Pelodiscus sinensis: one gene and its partners. The protein of the gene in region 1 interacts with the protein of each later gene in a biochemical or structural test. Links are inferred from orthologs where the notes say so. Each region holds a gene or a part of one and is shown on either strand. Other genes may lie near its edges. The genes, in order: RGS4, GNAO1 and guanine nucleotide-binding protein G(q) subunit alpha.

The links.
Region 2: the proteins of RGS4 (region 1) and GNAO1 form a complex in vitro, tested with the Homo sapiens proteins (2 studies listed by BioGRID). The link is inferred for Pelodiscus sinensis from reciprocal best matches to the Homo sapiens genes RGS4 and GNAO1.
Region 3: the proteins of RGS4 (region 1) and guanine nucleotide-binding protein G(q) subunit alpha form a complex in vitro, tested with the Homo sapiens proteins (3 studies listed by BioGRID). The link is inferred for Pelodiscus sinensis from reciprocal best matches to the Homo sapiens genes RGS4 and GNAQ.

Annotation. Positions count from the first base shown.
Region 1 is NC_134719.1:65,678,891-65,685,942, forward strand, and holds the start of RGS4 (regulator of G-protein signaling 4), read left to right. Parts: upstream 1-3,987; 5' UTR 3,988-4,098; coding exon 4,099-4,391; intron 4,392-7,052. UniProt on the Homo sapiens protein: Inhibits signal transduction by increasing the GTPase activity of G protein alpha subunits thereby driving them into their inactive GDP-bound form. Activity on G(z)-alpha is inhibited by phosphorylation of the G-protein.
Region 2 is NC_134722.1:44,556,752-44,564,595, reverse strand, and holds the start of GNAO1 (guanine nucleotide-binding protein G(o) subunit alpha), read left to right. Parts: upstream 1-4,759; 5' UTR 4,760-5,218; coding exon 5,219-5,336; intron 5,337-5,562; coding exon 5,563-5,605; intron 5,606-7,844. UniProt on the Homo sapiens protein: Guanine nucleotide-binding proteins (G proteins) function as transducers downstream of G protein-coupled receptors (GPCRs) in numerous signaling cascades.
Region 3 is NC_134716.1:37,304,030-37,311,179, reverse strand, and holds the start of guanine nucleotide-binding protein G(q) subunit alpha, read left to right. Parts: upstream 1-4,063; 5' UTR 4,064-4,449; coding exon 4,450-4,585; intron 4,586-7,150.

The DNA of each region.
Region 1 (7,052 bases):
TGTGCCTCTCGACTCCAGTGGGTCAAGCCAGTGCCGGTCCCTCTATTCCTAGGAAAGACGAATATGAGGTGGGCGTCCCCGTGGAACCTCGGGAGGTCAATAACCTAACCCGACCAGCAGGTAGATGGTAGATTGACACTCAAAGTGAGTGTGCTGCTGGACCCATCTTTATACCCCTGGGCTGTGTCTAGACTGGCAATTTTTTCCGCAAAATCATCTTCTTTTGCGGAAAAACTTGCCAGCTGTCTACACTGGCTGCTTGAATTTCCGCAAAAGCACTGACGATCTCATGTAAGATCATCAGTGCTTTTGCGGAAATACTATGCTGCTCCCGTTCGGGCAAAAGTCTTTTTCCGAAAAACTTTTGTGCAAAAGGGCCAGTGTAGACAGCAGAGATTTGTTTTCTGCAAAAAAGCCCTGATGGTGAAAATGGCGATTGGGGCTTTTTTGCGGAAAAGCGCGTCTAGGTTGGCCACAGACGCTTTTCCACAAAAACTGCTTTTGCGGAAAAGCATCCTGCTAATCTAGACGCGCTTTTCCGAAAATGCTTTTAACAGAAAACTTTTCTGTTAAAAGCATTTCCGGAAAATCATGCCAGTGTAGACGTAGCCATGGGGTCACGTATTTCTCTTTCTTATCTAAGATGCCAAATGGTGCTGGTCTGTCTTTTGTGACACCAGTTCTTACAAGGGAGTTGTGAACTTAATTTACACTTGTAAGAGAGAGAACTAAATTGGAAGTACTGGGCATTCTTTTCTCAATGGGAGATTCCTCTCCCAGGGCCGACTGTATGTGATTGTATCAACATACGTGCCAGCCAGGGCAGTTCTCGCAGCCTCGAGGTCAGCTTATTGCCTTAATCGCTCTTTCCTCATATCTGTGTTTTCAGCTTCTCAGGATCAGATGAGCCAGCATAGACTATGCTGATTTTATTGTTCCTTCTCTGCCCTGTATGCTTCAGGAACCTCAGAGAGGCAAATAAGAAGGATGTGGGCGGAGGGGGGGGGGGGGGGAGTGTCTGTCTGGCTACAGGGTCATGGGGCAGGACAAGGACTGGGACCAGAGAAGTTGGCCTGGGTCTCCCCGATGCAGCACCTTGCCACCAGGGAGAGTGGCCTGTATAGACTGGCTTGTCTCTGAGGCAAAGGGCTTGACTTCAGGGCTGCGGTTGGCCACAGAGGCAGGTGCAAAGACAGCTGGGCTATGTCTACACTCACGGCTTCTTGCGCAAGAAATATGAAAATGAGGCTAAGTGTGGAATATTGCTGAGCCTCATTTGCATATCTAATGAGCTGCCATTTTTGCAGAAGAGGCCCTTGCGCCAGAAGGAGCTGTCTACACGGCCCCTTCTTGCACAAGAAAACCCTCTTGTGCAATGCTGTTATGCCGCTTATTTTTCAGGAAGAACAGCATTGCGCAAGAGGGTTTTTGTTGCGCAAGGGGCAGTGTAGACAGCTCCTTCAGGCGCAAAAGCCTCTTCTGCAAAAATGGCGGCACATTAGGTTTGCAAACGAGGCTCGGTGATATTCCACAATTAGCCTCATTTGCATATTTCTTGCACAAGAAGCCGCGAGTGTAGACATAGCCCAGGTGTACCTGACTGGGGCAAAAGGCTGGAGCGGTGGTGCTGCCAGACAGCAGTGTCCTGAGAGCGACATGGGCACAAGGAGAGCCAGAGGAGCGCTGAGCCAGCTGGAGTGCCAGAGCTAATTCCCAGTCCGACCAGCAGGAGGTGCTGTGCTGGTGAGTTAACCCTGCTACGCACCCTGACAAGGGGTGAGGTAGCCTTAGGCCCCAGGAGGAGTCTCTCAAATGCCTTCATCATGCAGGCTGCCCCTTTCAGTCCCTCATGGGTCCACCTGGCCCAGCCAGGATCACGGTGATCCAGCCCCCTTCTCCCAGGACCCTGCCAGACCGACTGTGCCCTGCTCACCTGAGTGACTTAGTCACTGCTATCCACAGGAACCCAGGGATAGATCTGACATGGCCTAGTGGGCAGATCGTAGGACTAGGGGACCTTGAGCAAGTCCCTTCCTCTCCCTATTCTTGAATTGCTAAATGTAAAATGGGGGTAAGGCTACTGAGCGCCTTTGCAGTGCCGGGACACCTTCGGATGGAAAACACTTGGCAAGAGGCGGAAGAATCCATTCTAGGAGACTGGAACCTAATCAGAATGGCATGTATTGTCCAGAATGGCATGCATTGTCTGGTATTGTGCTAATTACAGGATGTTCGTTTTTAGGACTGATTGGATAACAATTGTCTTGTCATTGTGAGGAATGAGATATGTAAGTGTCTCTTCCCCCCTCCCCCATAGCCATCAGAATGAAGGGTTCATAGTAGGACAATGAATATGTTTTTCAATTTCCCCTCTTCCTTCTCATTAAACCTTTGGTCCTATTGTTTCATCTAGGATTGCTCTGTGCTCTGCAGTCTTGTTCTCTCCCCCTTCCAGGCAAACTGACCCTGAAGGGATTTTTTTTCCAGGAATTACTCTGCCCTCTGCCAATCTGAAGCAAAATAACACCCCAGATACACACAGTTTGGATTCCAAAGAATTGCCTTTGGCTCCAGAATAATGAATACAAGACAAAAGGAGGAACCTGCAGTGCAGTCCAGTAAAAACCTGAGGCACTTGGCCAATGTTAATCAGTCCCAGAGTTGTATGCCTGACCTGAACCATCTTCCCTTTGCAAAATGTGTTGGGTAGAATTTTGTATGTTTTACTGAAGTGATGTATGCTGAAGGGGCTGGCCTGAGAGACAAGGTTAATTCCCAGTAATTTGGTGGCATCAAATGCACATCGAGCGTGGGAGTAAAAGGAGAGAAATGCAAATATTACTTGGCAGGCAGCAAAGCCAACTTGGCAGTTGTTCAGTAATAACTGGCTCGTGTGAGCCAAAGATCACACAGGCAGGGCTATGCTAATAAGAAGTTTCCACCCATCAGACTCTCTGACTCGAACAAAGAAGGTAAGTGTAAATGGTTTCTGGCTCAGGGCAGTCAAAGGGGGGGGGGGGGAGGGGAGGGGAGAGAATTGGCCACAAGTAGCTTGTGCTGCTAGTAGTATCTCTTATAAGAAAGGCCTGTGGGCATGGGTGGGAGGGGATGCAGATGTAAGCGGGGTCAGGGTAAGCTCTAACCTGACATCAGGGCTACGTCTACACTGGCATGATTTTCCGGAAATGCTTTTAACGGAAAAGTTTTCCGTTAAAAGCATTTGGGGAAAAGAGCGTCTAGATTGGCACGGACGGTTTTCGCAATTGGGGCTTTTTTGCGGAAAACAAATCTCAGCTGTCTACACTGGCCCTTTTGCGCAAAAGTTTTGTACAAAAGGGACTTTTGCCTGAATGAGAGCAGCATAGTATTTCTGCAAAAAGCACTGATTTCTTACAGTAGGAAGTCAGTGCTTTTGCAGAAATTCAAGCAGCCGGTGTAGATAGTTGGCAAGTTTTTCCGGAAAAGCGGCTGATTTTCCGGAAAAACTGGCCAGTCTAGACACAGCCCTGGTGGTGAACTGTGGCAAATGGTGCAAAGAGACTTCAAGGCGAGATCCCAATTTGCATAGACACACCCACCCCGTCTAGTATGTGCTCACAGCAGCCCAAATGGTAACTTTGGCCACTGTGGGATCCCCAGTCTCTCTGTTATTGAGGCAGGGAGGATAAAAGTGTTGTTACCTTGATTAGGCGAATCAAGGACAACAGAATGGTGGAACTGTTTATGACAGAGGGATTTGCCATAAACTAAGTAGCACTCGCTACACAAGGGGCATGGGTTCCAAACCAAGTCAAATTGAAAAAGAGTGGGGACAGGTCTTTGTACTTGGTGGTGAGGCCCTGGCTGAGCATCTAAACAGCACTGATTGCATTTTCTTTTTTCTCTAGTCTGGTGTATCAGAGCTAATTTTGATTCCATTAGGAGTCTAGTTGTGAGTTGCAGAGTTGAGTTCACTGTGGGTTAGTGGAGCACTAGCACTGAGGTTCCTCTATCGTGAACTGAACTTGCTAAAGACCTGAAATCAGTGTGTGCTGTGGGGAGCCTGGCGCTATGCTGCGGAAGAGCTGAAATCACTATTGCTGTGGGGAACCTGGCGCTATGCTGCTGAGCTACAAGCAGAACAGCTTGCAGGGACAACCAGCAAGTGCAGGCGGACAGCAGAGCGGTTTGCGGGAACGACCGGTGGGTGCAGGCGGACAGCAGAGTGGCTGGTGGGGACGGCTGGTAGGAGCAGCAGCAGACAGTCAGTGGAGCAGCTGCAGGAGCAATCAGCTGGCGGCCAGGGGCATGGACCGAGATGGCTGGTGGAGCCAGACAGTTCGTGGGACAGCTGAGGCGGCTCATTGGACGACAGGTGGACGTGTTGATGGTGGCGGCAGAACCCTACGGAGGTAAGGTGTATCAATCCCCGCCCCTCCAGGTTGGGATGGTAAAACCCTGCCAGGTGAACTTTTGAACCCTGGGGCTGCACTGACCCAGGGCAAAGACTTTTGGGGTGTTGGTCTTTGGGTGATTCGTGGCTGGGGGGAGGGTCTTTGCTCATGTATGGTCTGTGATTCTGAGTTGTGGTGTTTTCCCAAGTTCATGCTGATGTCGGTTACCTCATGTTATTAAAGGTTTGCTGCTATACGGAGGCTCTGTGCTTGCGAGAGGGGAAGAATTGCCTCCGAGGCACCCAGAGGTGTATGTAAGATTTCCCAGGTCACTGGGTGGGGGCTCGAGCCGGTGTTGTATTACCTTGTTGGGAGGAGACCTCTAGATACTCAATCCGGCCCTTGCTGCTATTAACTCGGCCTGGCAGAAGGGTAACATAAAGGAACCTGCCACAGATGGAGTTTTAGAATAAGAACCTAATAGAGCCATTCAGGGTTAGGCTACTGGGCTAGAGGGGCCAGTGGGCTGTTTTCCAGCTAGGGATGTTAAATATCATTTAATTGAACAGTCGATTAACCTCATGAATTCGTATTGGTTCATCAGCTATTCTATAATCCCCAGGGAGTGAAGCTGGTAGTCAGTGGGCTCCAGCCCCACTCCTGAGGAGCCCACTGCCACCTCTGTGTCCAAGGCAGCAGCGCAGGGTGCCAGGCGGGAGCTGGTCTGCGAGGGGAGCCAGTTTTAAAACTAGCTTCTCTCGTGGACTGGCTGCCTGTGGCCCCATGCTGCTGCCTCTGATACAGTGGCAGCAGCATGGTGTGGCAGCAGCCCCTGTCTGGGGTGCAAGGGATCTGAGCTCCCAGACCTGGCATGAGTTGGAACTGGGCTGCCTGCCTGCCTGGCTCCTAATAGACTTGACATGCAGAGCTGCAGTGGGGGTAGGTCATGGACCCAGTGCAAACTGGGACTGAGACAGGCTGCTGGCCAGCCTGCTAAAAAATTGACTGGGGGGTGGGGAAGAGGGGAAATGTGTGTGGTCTATAGTATTAACCTATAAGCTTTTACTTATCGGTTAATTGATTGATCAGCTACACCGTTACATCCCTACTTGCAACAGTGGCCAGTATCAGGTGCTTAGGAAGTAATGAACAGAAGAAGTGATCATCAAGTGATATCCTGTCTTCTATTCCCAGCCTCTGGTTGCCAGAAGCTAGAGACAAATAGTGTGTGTGTTCTGTAAACAAGATATAGATTATTGAAGGAGAATACCAAGGACATCCAAAGCCTGCAGTGGCAGCATACACAGCACTGAATGCCACCTCCATTCAGAAATTCTGATTTATAGCTTCGAAGTCCAGATGTTACACTGGAGAATCGCACTCCTTTAGCATGGATACTAGCTTTCAGGAAGATTGGGCTAATTTGTCAATACTCTTCATTTTTGAAGACTTTATGGAATAGACTGGTTAGGTATGGAGCAAGAATGATTGGCTTGGGCAAGTGGTCCTCTTTGGGAAGTCTGCAGTTGGGCCACAGTGTAAGAGAGGCAGTAGGCAGTGCTCCCAGTTGTGCATCCTGTGGACTGGAGAGGTAGCCACCAAGTAGTAGAGGATGCTGGAGGAAAGGGCTCAGGTGGGGCTAGGGAGAAAGCAGCCAACAGGTTCTACATTGGGCCTGCCACTGGGCTCCAGGAAGCTGTCAATTAGCACCATTTAGGAGCTTTGCCTTTAGTGCCCCCTGTCCAGCATCCTAGGTGGAGCTGGGCGAAGAACGGACTTTTCAATGTGGCAGCTATTTCAGAGGGAGAGAGGCTGAGTACAACAAATCCAGGGTTTTTTCAGAATTTTTGGCAAATCAAACTGTTGGTATCATTTGACCCAGAGCATTTAATTTTTGAGCATTGTTGAAGGGCAAGAGTCAGAGGCATTATCACCCTGGGAACGTTTGCAATGTCAGAGATCCAGGTTCAAATGGCAGCATCGGGAGGGAAGGGGGACAGCCTGCTGCCCATGTGAGGGCCAGCAGCAGTGGGCTAGAGCCTCATTACTGCTCTTTCCCCAGTGAATATTCAGAAGCAGTTTATGCAGAGTGGAACAGGCGAGCTGCTCGCCTGAGAATAGCCACTAACCCAGCCTGAGGCCTGGCTCTCCCCTAGAGCCGCAGAACAAACCTGCCTTGGCCCAGGCAGACGTGAGGGAACGCAGGAGTGCTCTGGTCCAGCCGCCATGCTTTCTGCATAAAATAGTGACAGCCCCTTCAGTCAGTCTAGGCCTTGTGTCCATGGACACACGACCCCTAAATGGATGGAGTTCATCTACAGATACCTGTACTGGATGTTCCTGCAAGGGGGGCTTCTGGACCGAGGACTGTCCTGGGAAGCAGAGCAGCAGAATAACCCTGACAGTGCTGAGGCCGTGTCCCAGGCCTGTCTACCTTTGTCTAACCAAGGGAGGGATTTACCCCAGTGCTGTACTGTTCCAAGAGCAGCTTTCCGAAAGGGAGGCCATCACATTTTTGGTGACCACCCAGGCTTGTATACTGCAAGAACTCACTTCTATGCTGTGTCTGGTTCCAAGAGCAAGAGCTGAATAGCCCCCCAAACAGGGGAGCTAGGGCCTTGGAGGTCCAGTCCTTAACTGGGCAGTCAGTGTGAGCTTTGCCTTCTGGGACTGGCTGCC
Region 2 (7,844 bases), on another chromosome or scaffold:
GCGCAAAATCATGCCAATGTAGATACAGCTGTGTTGTTTGCTTATATTTATCTTTGTAATTTGACCTAGTTTCCACTTTTTATATGACTCCTTTTTGATTTTTAGATCATGTAAGATCTCCCGGTTGATCCAAGGTGGTCTCCTGCCAGACTTTTTATCTTTCCTACTCAGTGGAATAGTTTGCTTTTGGGCCCTTAATAATGTCCCTTTAAAAATACTGCCAACTCCCTTCAGTTGTTTTTGCTCCTAGTCTTCCTTCCCATGGACCTATCAGCTCTCTGAGTTTACTAAAATCTGCCTTCCTGAAATCCATTGTCTCTATTTTGCTGTTTTTCCTTCTACCATTCTTTAGAATCATGAACTCTACGATTTCATGGTCACTCTTTCTCAAGCTGCCTTCCGCTGTCAAATTCTCAACCAGTTCTTCCCTATTTGTTAAAATCAAATCAAGAACAGCTTCCCCCCGGTAGCTCTCAACCTTCTGAAATAAAAATTTGTCTCCAATGCAATCCAAGAACTTGGATAGTCTGTGCCCCGCTGTGTTTGTTTCCCAACATGTGTCTGGATAGTTGATATCCCCCATCACCACCAAATCCTGTGCTTTGGATGATTTTGTTAGTTGTTTAAAATGGCTTCATCCACTTCATCTGCCTGGGTAGGTGGTCTGTAGTAGACATCACCCTTATCTTTTTTATCCCTTTTAACCTATCCCCAGTCCATTCCTTGATTTGATTTTAACAAATAGGGTAGAACTGGTTGAAATCCAGGAGAGACAAGGATAGAGTCCAAAATGTAGCAGAACTCAGCACCACCCACCCCTGGCATGGGCTGTGGACCTACACATGGAGGAGAACCGGTCTGCCCTCCTTCATGGAAAAGTTCCTCCCACTGCTGGGTGTCTGCCTCAACTAGGCCCTGCTGACATTGCAGTTGCCATGGTAAGAGTATCAGAGGGGTAGCCGTGTTAGTCTGAATCTGCAAAAGCGACGAGGAATCCTGTGGCACCTTATAGACTAACTGAAGTGTAGGAGCATAAGCTTTCGTGGGCAAAGACCTACTTCGTCAGATGCATGTAGTGGAAATTTCCAGAGGCAGGAATAAATATGCAGGCCAGGATCAGGCTGGAGATGACGAGGTGGATCCAATCAAGGAGGCTGAGGCCCACTTCTAGCAGCTGATCTCCAGAGTGGCGCATCCCTCAGTTGCTCCCACAGGGCAGGCTTCAGGTTTGGCTGTGCAGGGCCCAGCTGGGCAGGACAGACTCTTGTGGTGTGAGTGGCCAGTGCCCTCCCCCTTCCCTGGTAGCAGGTTAGGCTGCCCTGTGTTCGGCAGCAGTGGGAGGAGCCCGCAGGATGCAGGTGGGGGCTTGGGGTCCTTCAGAGCTTTGCACTTAGGGGACTTGGTCTGGGGGAAGGGGTTCAGGCACTTCAGCACCCACCCCCCAGGGTGCCATGGACCAGACCCCCACAGGACTCTGCCCCCCAGCAGTGCTGGACACCACGGGGTCACCTACTCACCCACCCCTGCCTCACTGTGCTGCACCTAGCCTCCCTCCCCCCCATATCCCTGAACCCCCCAAAAACACCCTAACTACAGCCCTATTCCCAGGGGCACCCTGCCCCCATCAACCTGAACCCCCTCAGCCACTCTGCACCCCAGCATTATCTGCAGGCACTCTTAGCCCCCATCTTCCTCCCTCCTTACCAGGCACCCTCCCTCCTGGCTAGACACCCTACCCCAAGCCTCCTGCATCCGCTTTGCTCCTTGCACCTTCCCTCCTGGTCACACATTGCACCCTCCCTTGCTCCTGCTCCCTCCTCCTAGCCAGCCACCCTACTCCCAGCCTGCTTCTGTACCCTACCTCCCACCAAGACCTTGCAACCTCTTCCCCTTCTGCACCCCACCTCCCTTCCAGATCCTGCCCTTATTTCTATCCCACTCACTGGCAGCCCTGTCCCACACACTGAACCCCTCATTTTTGTCCTCACCCCAGAGTCTAAGGAGGTCTATAAAATCCAGTAACTCCAGAACACCAGAAAAGTGAATCTGGCCTATGGGAAGCCCTGAACTTCAGTCCTCTCTGTCTCTTCCCCTCGCCCCATCAGGCTGGAGCACCAGGATTGTGAGGGGGGGGGGGTGTTGGAAGAGAGTTTTTTTGCTTCTCACTTGTGTGGACCCCAACTGATTTTTCTGTGGGTCAGTGGCTCCTGACACAAAAAAGGTTCCCCACCCCTGCCATAAATAAAGAAAACATTGAAACCTTTTGTGTTGGACATAAATTAATATTTTACTTTATTTAGAATGAAATTTTATAAACGAACATGAGACAGTTAAAACTCTTAATCTGTTTAATGACTTAAATTGAACCATTCTCCCTAGCTGCAGCCAATAGCAAAATGGCTTGAGTGTAATTACTATATGTAATTAATGATGAGTTTACATTATCAGCTTGTGGTCCGCAGAAAGTTTCACATTGGGTGGTCCGTGGGCTAAAAAGTTTGAGAACCACTGATCTAGCCTATTATCCTGTCTTCCTACAGTGGCCAATGCCAGGTGCTTCAGAGGGAATGAACAAAACAGGTAATCATCTAGGCTATGTCTACACAGCAGCATTAGAGGTGTTTAAGTCTCGGCTTGACAAAGCTCTGGCGGCTTTGATTTAATTGGGATTGGTCCTGCCTTGGGCAGGGGGCTGGACTTGATGGCCTTCTAAGGTCTCTTCCAGCTCTATAGTTCTATGATTCTGTGATTTCAGAATAACCGATGTTATTTCAAAATTACAAAGTGGCTGTGTCTAGACTGGCCAGTTTTTCCGGAAAATCAGCCGCTTTTCCGGAAAAACTTGGCAGCTGTCTACACTGGCCGCTTGAATTTCCGCAAAAGCACTGACTTCCTACTGTAAGAAATCAGTGCTTTTTGCGGAAATACTATGCTGCTCCCGTTCGGGCAAAAGTCCCTTTTGTGCAAAACTTTTGTGCAAAAGGGCCAGTGTAGACAGCTGAGATTTGTTTTGCGCAAAAAAGCCCCGATCGCGAAAATGGCGATCTAGATTGGCCACAGACGCTTTTCCGCAAAAAGTGCTTTTGCGGAAAAGCGTCCGAGCCAATCTAGATGCTCTTTTCCAAAAATGCTTTTAACGGAAAACTTTTCTGTTAAAAGCATTTCCGGAAAATCATGCCAGTCTAGACGTAGCCACAATGTGTTTCTACAACGCAAGCTGTTACTATGAAATAATTTAGAGATGGAGGACTTCTTACTTCGACTCCTGTAACCCTCATTTCATGAGGAGCAAGGGAAGTTGAAGGAAGAGAGTTCTTCCTTCGACTTCCTGCTGTGTAGACCATGCCAAAAGCCGAATTAAGCTATTTCAGCTTTAGCTTTGCAATTGATGTACATGTCTCTGAATGAACCTAGGATGGGATTTCATCAGGGAAAACCTTTTGTCACTTCTTTCACTGTCTCCTCTCCCACCTGGTACCAAATTTGCCCAGGCCTAATAAAGTTCATCTCTGCAAGTGTATAAACTTCCTAGAATCAATTATTATGCTCCTTCTGACAGCAGGACCTACAGGTGCTAACCAAGACACAAAACCCATAGTGCTAGGCATGCATTGTACATACACAGATGTACTGTGTAAATGTATGCACTGTACAGTACATATATAGTCCCGGCCCACAAAGAGTTTACAGTCTAAATAAAAAAGACAAAAGGTGGCAGAAAGAGGAGAAACTTCTTATAGAGGAGAACTGAAACACAGGGGAAAAAAGTGACCTAAGGCCAGCACAGGAAGTGGCAAAACCAGGAATTTAACCAGGTCTCCTGCAGCCCAGGCCCAGCCTTTCCTCTCATTATTACCAAAGTAGCACTAGACAAGCCCTATTCACTACACCAGTGTTTCTCAACCTTTTTTTTTTATAAAGAACCCCTTTTCAAAAAAACCAAAATTATAAGTACCCTCAGTACCTAGTTTTCAGACACACAATTTTTTTGTCTACCATTGCACCCCATTTGTTTAAATAACTTAATTTTAGCTGGGCAGGCGATGAAATTTTTGGGTGTAAAATGTACAAAAATAATAAAGCGCTGTCAAACTTCAAACAAAAATTCAGTTCTCTCCAAATTTCAGTTGTTGACGTCCCCCCCCCCCCCCCCCAGCCTTCTCTCAAGTTCCCCTAAGGGTACTTCTACCACTGCTTGAGCTACACTGTATGTACAGAAAGGCCAGTAAGGAGAATAATCATTTGCACTGCTAAAACAGCTCCTACTCCAGGCACTCCACCAAGCCATGAATTCTGCTTGGGAAAACTGAGGTCACTGCTGAAAGGTCACAGAGTGAGCTCGGCTAGCCCCCGGCCTTGGCACGGGGCAGCATGCATGCGAGGAAAGGGGAAAGACGCCTTTGAACCTCACCGAAGTCCATTGGCCTGGCAGAGCTTTCCTGGAGGGGTCAAAGGGAGACAATGACGAGTTGTCCACCCGCAGGCTCCTTCCTCCCCGGCTCCAATTGTTTCCCAACTCGCGCAGGCTGCAGAGCGCACAGGGCCCTACCTAGGTACCCCCCGGGGCTGCTCCCCGCCCTCCTCTCGCTGGATCCTCGCTGCACCTAGGGATGGAGCGCGCGCTCTCCTCCTGCCAGGAGCCGCGGGAGCAGCTGCTCGCGGCCCGGGAGCGCCAGCAGCCCACCCTGCTCTGGGAGCATGCGCGGGCGGGCGCTGCGGACGTCACCAAAGCAGGCGAGCCCGTGAGTGCGGACCCCTGGCGCAACTCCCCCTCCCTCCTTCCCTCCCGCCCGCTCGCTTTCCCCTTCTGCTTCCCTCTCCGCCAGGAGCCGCCGAACGATGCGATCGCTCGCAGCCATCGCCGCCGCCCATTAGAGACCCCACAGCCTGCATCAGAGGAAAAAAACCCTCCAGCCAAAGCAGGATCCACCCTTTCCCCTCCCCCCGCCGAGCCCTCTTCCTCCTCCTCCTCCTCCTCCATCAGGAAGAGCTCAGCCTTTTTTGCACCAGCCCCGTGCCTGCCTGCAGCCCTAGATCTGCCCGGCTCCCCCTTGGATGCACTGATTGCTAGAGAGAGGGAAAGGAGGGAAGGGCATTCACAAGAAAGGGGAAACGTATTTGATTGCCCAGATTTTTTCCTGGGGGTTCATTTTTCCCCCCTTTCTCTTGGAGTGTCTGAGAAGGGGAGAGGCGGCCGCCGAGGGTTTTTTTGGCCATCATGGGATGTACACTGAGCGCAGAGGAGAGAGCTGCCTTGGAGAGGAGCAAAGCGATTGAGAAAAATCTCAAGGAGGATGGGATCAGCGCCGCCAAAGACGTGAAATTACTCTTGCTAGGTAAGCAGCAGCTCCCCCCCCCCCCCACTCCGCCCCGCCGACCACATCCCTACCCATTTCCTTAAGTCATGTTTTCTTCCCATCTGTGCACATTCTGTCTTGGGAAACTGTATTTCACCAAGATAACCCCCTCCGTTAACACAGCTGCTCCCTTCTGTGTAATTTCCTTTATCTCCTTATGTTCTCACGTTCACTGGATCTTTTCTTTCTGTGTCTGTCCCAACAGGGGCTGGAGAATCTGGGAAAAGCACCATTGTCAAGCAGATGAAGTAAGTCCTTTGGGGCTAACGCCCTAGAAGCGTCGATCATTTGCCTTGAAAAAATCTAGACATTCCTCTGATTTTCTTTGGAGGGGGGAGCTTGTGAGAAGGGGCTTCTTTAGTTGTAAGAATGCCTGTGACCGCCATATTTATCTGAGAATTACTGTGGTTATCGTGTTGTGGCTTGTGGACCCATTAGTATGGCACATCTGTAGCAGTGATTTCTAGTGGGGAAAGAAGATGGAGGGGGATCCAGCCCTTTGCTCACCGAGGATGACCAGGTGTCTGCTGTTCATGGGGTTGGTGCTGAATTGGATGTGGTGTGGTTTCTCTTTTCCCTCTCATAAGGTGTGAGAAGCTGCCTGTGGTTGGGGGTGGGGTAGGATGGGTTTCGTAGAAGATATGAATGGCACAGATGAAACCAGGACATCATCATCCTCTGCATTTAAGCTTAATGTCAGGTTTTTATCTCCTAGGCTCTCTCCTCTCAAAACACACACTCCCTTCCGTGTTTTACCTCCTGACGTGAGCTGCTGGGCCGGCTCCCTGTATTTGTTTATTTTAAAAATCTGCCTGTAATGCGGATTTAAAGCAAGGCTTGCTGCCACTCAAAGCCCTTTTTACCCGAGATTTCCGCCTTTCCTGTTGATTAATTAAGACGTTGGCTGCTGATCACCAATGAAAATTAAGGGAGTTTTAAAAAAAGAACAGAACATTAAAACAATTACACAAGGAAACCTGCTCCGCTGTAAAAGCCCTTTCCAAATCGGAACATTGTTCCTCTGTCTTCCCCTCCCTCAACCCTCTCTCCGGGGCATGGATGTATTTTAAATCTCACGAGGCTGTCTGGAAGAAAGCGGCGAACTGCTGCGGTTGTGTAGGGTTGGACTTGCCCAGGGGTTCTTCTGTGACACCTTTGTGCGCGCACACGCTTGCTAATTGGGCAGTTGCTATGCCATAAACGCGCGCACACACATTGATTCTCTTTCAAGTAAGCAGTGATGGTGGGGGGGGGGAGGCGAGGCAGGCTAGCGAAAGGGGGGGAGGGTATTTTTATTTTGTAAGTACATGAGAAATGTCGGGCTTACCCTGGAATAGCCATGACAAGCTCATTCAAGGTGGCGCCATCACTGAGCAGCCCCTGATCGCAGGCTTAGGAGCGTCCCTGCTGCTTGGTTTTAAAGGCCCAGGGCGGGTTTGTTATTGATCGGTGCAAGGCTGATTGCAAAGGGAGTTGCTACGCTGACCCCCTGGGGGAGGCTCCGAGAGCGATGCCCAGCAGCGGGTGTGGCGGCCTGTCATTGCCAGAGGTGGCCTGGGGGAGCGGGCCTCCCTTGGAAGGCTTTGAGCAAAGGGAGGGGACTCTGCCTGCAGAGCGGCTGTCGGCCGGGCCGGTCCCCACGCCGCGGCGCCAGCTGCGAGCTTTCAGGCGTTCCGAGTGGTGGACAGCGCCCAGCAGAGCCTGGAAAAGTCGATCGGCCCCGGCAGCTCGGCAAAGCTCGGCGGCCGCCGGGAGCCTGCCTCGGCGGCGTTCGGAATCTGTCGGGAGACACAGAGCAGCGTCGGAAATGGCCGAAGGGGTTCGGAGCCGCTCGGTGCGCTGCCCTCCCCCGCCCACCGCACACGTTCGATGCATTGTCGAGCGATCTGCAGGTTGGGTCATTTTGCCATTGAACAGGATCGGTCCCTTCCCTTCTGGGCCCCACCCCGCTCTCCAGCTGTTTGCCATTTTGCCACCCGGGGGAGGGACACTGTGATCTGTTTTCAGAGAAAAATAAGGCGACTTCCAGAGAGGGACGGGGAAGTCCAGTTTTCCATGGCTTTAGCTGCTTTGGCAGTCCTACCAGACATCTCCCATGGCTTTTTATAGCGTTGTTTGTGTTTCAGTAAAGACACACTCAGCTTTCAACTCCTTGGAAAGGTTTGCAGTTACAGGTTTGTCCTTTGGTTTATTGGAAAATTTGGAGTAGGAAAGGGAGGGTCTGGAGCAAATTAACATCAATACATTAATAAATGCATCTGTCCATTAGATTGTCTGCAATAGACTTATCCAGGTATGGCTTTGTGTGTGTGTGCTGACATCCATGAATGTATCCCTTCCCTTCAACCAGAAGAGAACACATTGAAATCAGCCTTAGAGATGATGGGTTGTAGGATGAGTCTGGAGCAATGTACACAAAGTGACTAGGCATATCAAGTTACTGTACAGTAGCTCTGTGTAGCAGCATTCATGTTTTTAAAGCAAGAC
Region 3 (7,150 bases), on another chromosome or scaffold:
AGCACTGCCCCTTTGAAATGCCACTCCGTTTCAACAGAGCAGCACCTAGGGTCAGCTGTGCGGCACTGCCCTTCTGAAGGCCAATGTAGCCCAGGATCAGCTGGGAACTCCAGTTGATCCCAGGCTCCCATGGCACTGCCCCTTTGAAACGCCGGGGCAGCACTTCAAAGGGGCAGCGCTGCATGGAGCTGGCATCAGCTGGGGAGTCTAGCTGATCCTGGGCTCTCGCAGAGCTGCTGCTGCCCCTTTGAAACACCGCGGTGGCAGCATTACCAAGGGGCAGTGCTGCACAGAGCCAAGGTCATCTCTCGGGATCCGTGCCGTCACTGCTGCATTTCAAAGGAGCAGCGTGAGCAGAGCCTGGAATCAGCTGGGGATTCCAGATAATCCCAGGCTTCCACAGCACTGCCCCTTTGAAACACCGCCGCAGCATTTCAAAGGGGCAGCACACGCGATTAATCATGTGATTAACCACAATTCATTTTTAAAATTGCTTGACAGTCCTAATACTAAATATATCAAGAGTCGCTCATCAGTCTTTCAGGGCCCTAATACCTCTCATTGTATATATTTCCTTTAGGAGCTGTGGTAACCCTCCCCATCATTTAGAACACAATCATATATAAACCATTCATAAATTTAATAAATGGTCCCCCAAAATACTGCATGGGGTTGCAATATTAGTCACAAAGATGTTGTTTTATGAGATATTGAATAAAGCTGAAACTATGATAACAGATTCATCTATGTTGCTGGTATGCTCTCACCTTGTATGCAGTGTTCTGTTTTGGTCAAACCATCTAAAAAAACAGAAGACACACAGAGTGGGTCAACTAAATGGAAGGATTTCTGTACAAGAACAGATTATAAAGTCTGGCACTACATACTTTAGGGAGTAAGAGGAGATATGATAGAGATATACAGCATTATCAATGGTATACCAAGGTTTATCACAAATGCATATTTACTCTCTCTTACAAAGCAAGAAAGTGATGGTAATGAAAATAAAAAGCAACGCATTTAAAACAACACCCTCAATTTTTAAAAGTGACTAATTATCATGAGTACCTCAGTGTTTGGGTGCCCAATTTAAGACACTTTAAAGGAATCTGATATTCAAAGAAGATATGTTCTTCATCACTTCCTGAACACTAGACTCTCCTTAAGGAGTCTTCCAGTCAGACACCCAAAATCCCTAGTCATTTTGAAAATTCAGGCCAATAAATGGAGTCACCATTATATGCAAGATATACTTAAGCTATGGAACTCAGATACTGAGGCAAAGAGCTTGGTGGGAATCACAATAGTATTAGGTATCTCTGTAGTTAATAATTGTATCATTTGCAGATATACTTGCTAGGATAAATATATACAGGGAAAAGGAGATATAAAGCCTCATGATTTAGAACAAAAGCCTACCACTATTCTGATTGGAGTTAGGAAGAAACCCTAGAGGTATATTATTGCTTGATTCTGATTATGAAGGTTTTACACTTTCCTCTAAAGTATCTGGTACTATTCACCTGCAGAGGTAGGATACTAGCTGAGGTCCATTTTTATGCGCTGCTATCGCAATTTCTGTAGTCCAGCCTCATAACATTTTCTATTTATTCTGTGGTTTTTCTCAAGATACATATTGGAAGGTACTGCCCTCAGGTCATATGGCAAAAATCATTGTCATTGGGAGAGATACGTAGAGAATAAATGCAGTATACATACCCAAGAATTCCTACAATTAAATGACAGCTTCACATTTTTAGTATATAGTATTCAGACCCTGGAGAGACTCTTGCAACTCCCTTTAGTGCTCTGAAAGATGAGTCAGACTTCCTCTTCTGAAGGAAGATTACTATAATGCTAGGCCTTAAGGGCTGTGGCTGCTATGCTCTCAATATGCAGAGAGATTTTGATCAGTTATCCTGGGATCTTGCAGATCCACTTGCTATAATCTACCCATCCCCCAGACTTGCTGCAAACACTTTTGCACCATGCCGGGCCCTGTGCAAGCAGTGTGGTGAGCACACAGCATGTTTCCGGCATATGTTCCTTATAACTGGCCATTGTACCACCATTCTGCTGCCTTATTGTCCCTTATTCACTTACAGGTCCTCATCCACTAAGAAGTTGTTCAGTGGAAGCAAAGAGGATTTGACCCCTGTGTCATTGTTCACTTGTTTCTTGGTTAGCATTTTTATATACATGGTAACTGCAAACTAGTGCCTATCAACTGTATCTTTATGTTGCTAAATTCATTGCCAACATATACATAAACCAGGGACCCTAAAACATGTTATTACATTTTAAATCCATTTCAGTTTACTAAAAAATGATTTTTCTGAAATATGTGTTTTTTATTAAAAATAGGATTGTAGAATTTAATTTAAAACTTGTCCATCTTTATTTTAATTTTGTTTGCAAGGTAAACGAAACATATTTTCAAAAATCAACTGAGCTGCAGGGACTATTTTTTTAGTCTGTCAAAAAAATTGCTGAACAAATCAGCACAAGTAAATATATTTTTAAAATTGTGAAACAATGAGAATTATTTTATTCAAAATCTAGAAGTCACTGTTTTGATCATTAAATTTTAATTTTCAGAGCTTGTGATGAGCATAGCTTAATTAAGACTGTCAACATGTATGAGCAGCTGCACATGTGAGCACAACATACTTTTCAAAATATATGCCAACAGGTGCTGGAAAGAGCATCACACATGAAGCTGGCAGGTGAAAGAGGATATGGAGCAAGACAGGATCCTTCTCCATTATAGCTAATTTTAAATGGGGTGGGAATAGGGCAAAATGCAGCTAAAACATCAAGGATGGATGAAAGCTAGGATCCATATCATGTATCAGTCCATAATGTGCCATTGCTCTGTAATGGTTTGACTTAAGGTCTAGTAGTACAAATATACAAGGGGTTTGGAGTTTGGCAAAATCACACAATGGATAACCTCAAAGTTACACCTACAGAAATAAAAAGTAAAACAGATTAATCTATTTACATTTTAGAATCCTAGGTTCCTGGAAGCAAGGGAAGGAACCTACCCATTTTATTTAGTATAATGATTGTTACAATCTCCCCTCCCCCATTGTTCTTCAGCTCAACATATGAACTCCTTGGCATGAACAGTTATAAGGAACGCCTTGAAGACCTTGGGAAACTTTTATTCCCCAAATTTACATTGCCATCGGAAGGGAGAAAGGTTCCGCCTCTTTCCCCTCCTGGGAATTATTCTTTCACTCTTAAACTCTTTGCAAAGTCATCTCTTCCTGGAATAGCATGAAGGTTTATAACAAAATGGATTTTAAAAAAGGAATGAAAAGTAAATACAAAAATATGTTACCCTCCCCAGCCCTGCCCTATAGGACAAATACAAAAAAGAGTGTTCCTTGCGGCCATTTGGTGTGCAAAAGTACTTGTTCCTCCTTCTACTACTGCTATTGGATGGTGGTGCTCGTCTTTGTGTGAAAGCCTGTTCAGTGGGTTTGAAGGTTTATTGCCCTGGGATTTTCCTTTCTGTCTGTAACATATTCCTCTGTCTCGTGGGTTGGAGAGAGGGAGGGAGAGAGAGGGAAGGTCCGCCATATTTCTGCCTTACCACGCCCGGGGAACTGAGCCATTGAAAAGTCAGGCTGGCTGGATACATATTGTGCATGCACCACAGCTCCTGCTTCCCTCCTCTTCTCTCACATTGTCCCCTCTCGCTTCCTCACAGAAAGGGAAAGGCAGGAACACGACGAACAGCTCTGCAACAGCTGCTTTGCAAGCCACAAGCAAGTAGCTCTCCCCCCGCCCCCCCTTCAGCCTCAAAGAAAGCCGGGAAGAAAAGTCCACTTGCAAGAAAACCTTAAGCAAAGCAAACTCCAAGAGATTTTCAAGCGGCAACAAGCAAAAACCACCTCCTGGAGCATCTGGTCTTCAAAGTCAGGGAGGGGGGAAGAGAAACAAGAAAATGTGCGTGTGGAGGGGGGGAGGGGTTAGTCGCGATTAGCATTTCAGTAGGGGGCTGGCTGCTTGGGAGGGAGCTGAGGGGGGATTTCAGCGGGTGTCATTTACAAGGGACTGAGGTGACCGCAGGCGGCAGCGAGGGAAAAGAGGGGGCGTTGGGCTGCTCCTCTCTGCTGGGCACTGCTGCTCCGGTGGATGTTTCCCTGTTGTTTGGTGCATGATTTAGAGAAGAGGAGGAGTTGGAACTAGAGGGTGTCAGAGGCAGGAGATAGTGGGGTTGCGCTGCTGCCACCGCCGCCGGTGGGGGCCCTTTCTCTGCCTCTGCTCGCTGGGTGTAGCATCTAGCGCTCTCCCGGCGTCGGCTGGGCTGTCCCCGGGTGGGGGCTCGCAGGCAGAGGGCGCGTGCCTCCCTCGCTCCGCGGTGCGGGGTGTGAGTGTGTGTGAGTGTGAGTGAGAGTTTTCGGGGGGTGGGGGTTGTGTCTGAACCAGTTAGGAAGAATGACTCTGGAGTCCATCATGGCGTGCTGCCTGAGCGAGGAAGCCAAGGAAGCCAGGCGTATCAACGATGAGATCGAGAGGCAGCTCCGCCGGGACAAGCGGGACGCCCGCCGGGAGCTCAAGCTGCTGCTGCTGGGTAAGTCCGGGCAGGCGCCGCCTTCACCCCAACCCGGGCAGCTGCCCCGGTGCCGCGCCGCCCCTGCTGCTCACACACATACTGGGTGCCAGGGGGCATTGGGGAGTGCAGCTTTGCCCGTGCATGTAGGCACCTATGCAGTCGATATGCCGGTGTGTGGATCCCGAGTGGATATTGTATCCGCGCCTTGATCAGTCTTAAGGGAAAGGGAGTCTGGCTATGGGTGCAGGGGAAGGGAGGGAGGACGCGATTTACACTCAGTTTCCCTGCTTTCGCTCCGCGGGGGCTTCCAATCTGCATGATTCTGTTTATTCGGACTCTGATGATAGTGGAGCGGATACATTTGTGTGTGTGTGTGTGTGTGTGCGTGCGCCCAGATAGCTATAATACACGGTGTTACATGGTGTATATTTGGTGGCATGTTTTGCAAATGAAAATGTAGCTGGGTAAATACATGATTCTGGTTCCTGAAGGCAATTTGATGTGGAATGGACACTGGCCTTCCAAAAATGGAGCGGGGAGAGGACTTGGTGGGTGATAGAGAGATGAAAAGAGAACATAAATGGCAAATACATTTGGGGGTGGGTGTAAGGGAAAATTGCAAGGCAGCAGCTAAATGAAAGGACTCACAGGCGGAGTTGCTTTGCAGATTGATGGTGGCAAGCTTTAATGTCTGCATTGTTCTGAGAGCCTTCCGAAAGATTGCAGGGTGGCTGATTGCTTCATTAAATAAAAATAACACTAAAACATGGAAACGGAGATGAAGGGTTACATTCAGATTATAGGCTAATTTTTTACAATAACAGCACCACCATACAAAGACCATGAAACTGAATAATAACCTACAGTATGTTAGAGAATGACAGGATCTGGAGTATCTTCGGAATCCACCCACTGGATAAGAAATACAATTTACCATATACAACAGAATTTCCTCTTAATTTCGGCAGTTTCTGTACAATAACTGTAATTATATTACAGTTATTGTACAGAAACTAGTGTGTCCCTATTTGACTTTGTATCTGCTAAAATAATACTTTTGAATTAGAAATAATACAATTATTTGGTCATAAGATTTTTTTTAATACACAGTTATCATGGTAGATGTAGTTAATGCTTTGGACTAACAGTGCCTAAAAATGTCTGCACAAGAGCCTGATGTGCGTGTATGTGGGGTTATAAAACTGAATACATCACATGCAAAAGATGTGTATTGTCTGCTTTAGTGCAAATGTACTATCTTGTTTTATACATAAAGGTTGTTATTGATATGGGTTTAAATATGTTAAAGCTGGTTCAAAATATGCAAACATGAGAATGACTTTGTATGACCATATTCTTTTAAATTAATTTGCAGTTTTCCTTCAGTAACACATTTTCTCTTCGGAAGTTGGAATAATGGGTGTGGAGGAATGATCAGGAGAGAGAGAGAGAGATAAAAATTGCTTTGCGTATATGATTTTGGCCTAGTTTTGCACATTGTGATTATTTTAGAATTCAAGACAAGATGTGAATTACAAATTATATAGCTTGCATTTGCTTTAGTTTATGGACACTGACTTAACAGATTCAAGAAGTATTTTTTATCATATTTGGCTTGTCGTACAAGTCCACATGATTTCTGCATTTTCCTTATTTCTGGCAATAATGCTACAGGATTTTGCCCAAGGTTCTACGAAAGTGTGAAGTTTATTAGGGGTGTTTTCTGTGTGCTCCCAGAATGGGGACAAGGGAACTTAAATATATTAATTTATATAATTTCAAAGATTTAGGCCCCAATACTGTTGTCAGTCATGCTCATGCTTAACTTAATGAATGAGTAGTGTCATTGATTTTAGTGGAGTCCATTCACTTGTAAAGTTAAGTAAGTGTATAACTCATGGCAGACTTAGTGCCTAATTTTGGCATTGCTTTAGTTTAGGCCAAGTGAAAGGTGGGTAGTTTCAGTGCAAATAGATGGGTCAGGAGAGCTCTTAATTTATAGAACTATTGAGAAAGCTCAGGGTTTTTCTGTGTAGGTACAACAGTGCAAACCTTCAATGTTGATGTGCTGCATTAGTGTAATGTGAGTTTGCACTGGTGTGGTTTACTCGCAACGGAGAGAAGTGGTCCTGATGCAATACTTGCTTTATACAAAGTAACCCATCTCCAGTGCTCATATGCACAACTGTAACAATCCCACTCCAGAAATTCCTATTGTATACAAGCTGTCACTATTCTACTTTCAAAAGAGTACACTCTAATTAAAGGAGATTGTCAACTTAAAAATCATGCTCCTTACTGTTAATGATGTGTACTGGTGTCACAATTAACACCTATGGTTCTGATTCTACAGGGAGCTCTGTGAAGGCAAACTCCACTTGAAGTCACTGGGTCTCAGGGCAGAGACAGTGATTTGCCTGCACAGAGCTGCTTCCAGGACCCAAATATAAAATTAGTGTACTGAAATAATTTGGAGAGGGGGATATTTTTCAGTTGGCTTGTGTATTTGACAGCAGTTTGCGTTTAGTCACTCCCACTGCTATAGTCTGTTCTTCAGTTTTCCCTGTTGTTTGTGTGGGTCTT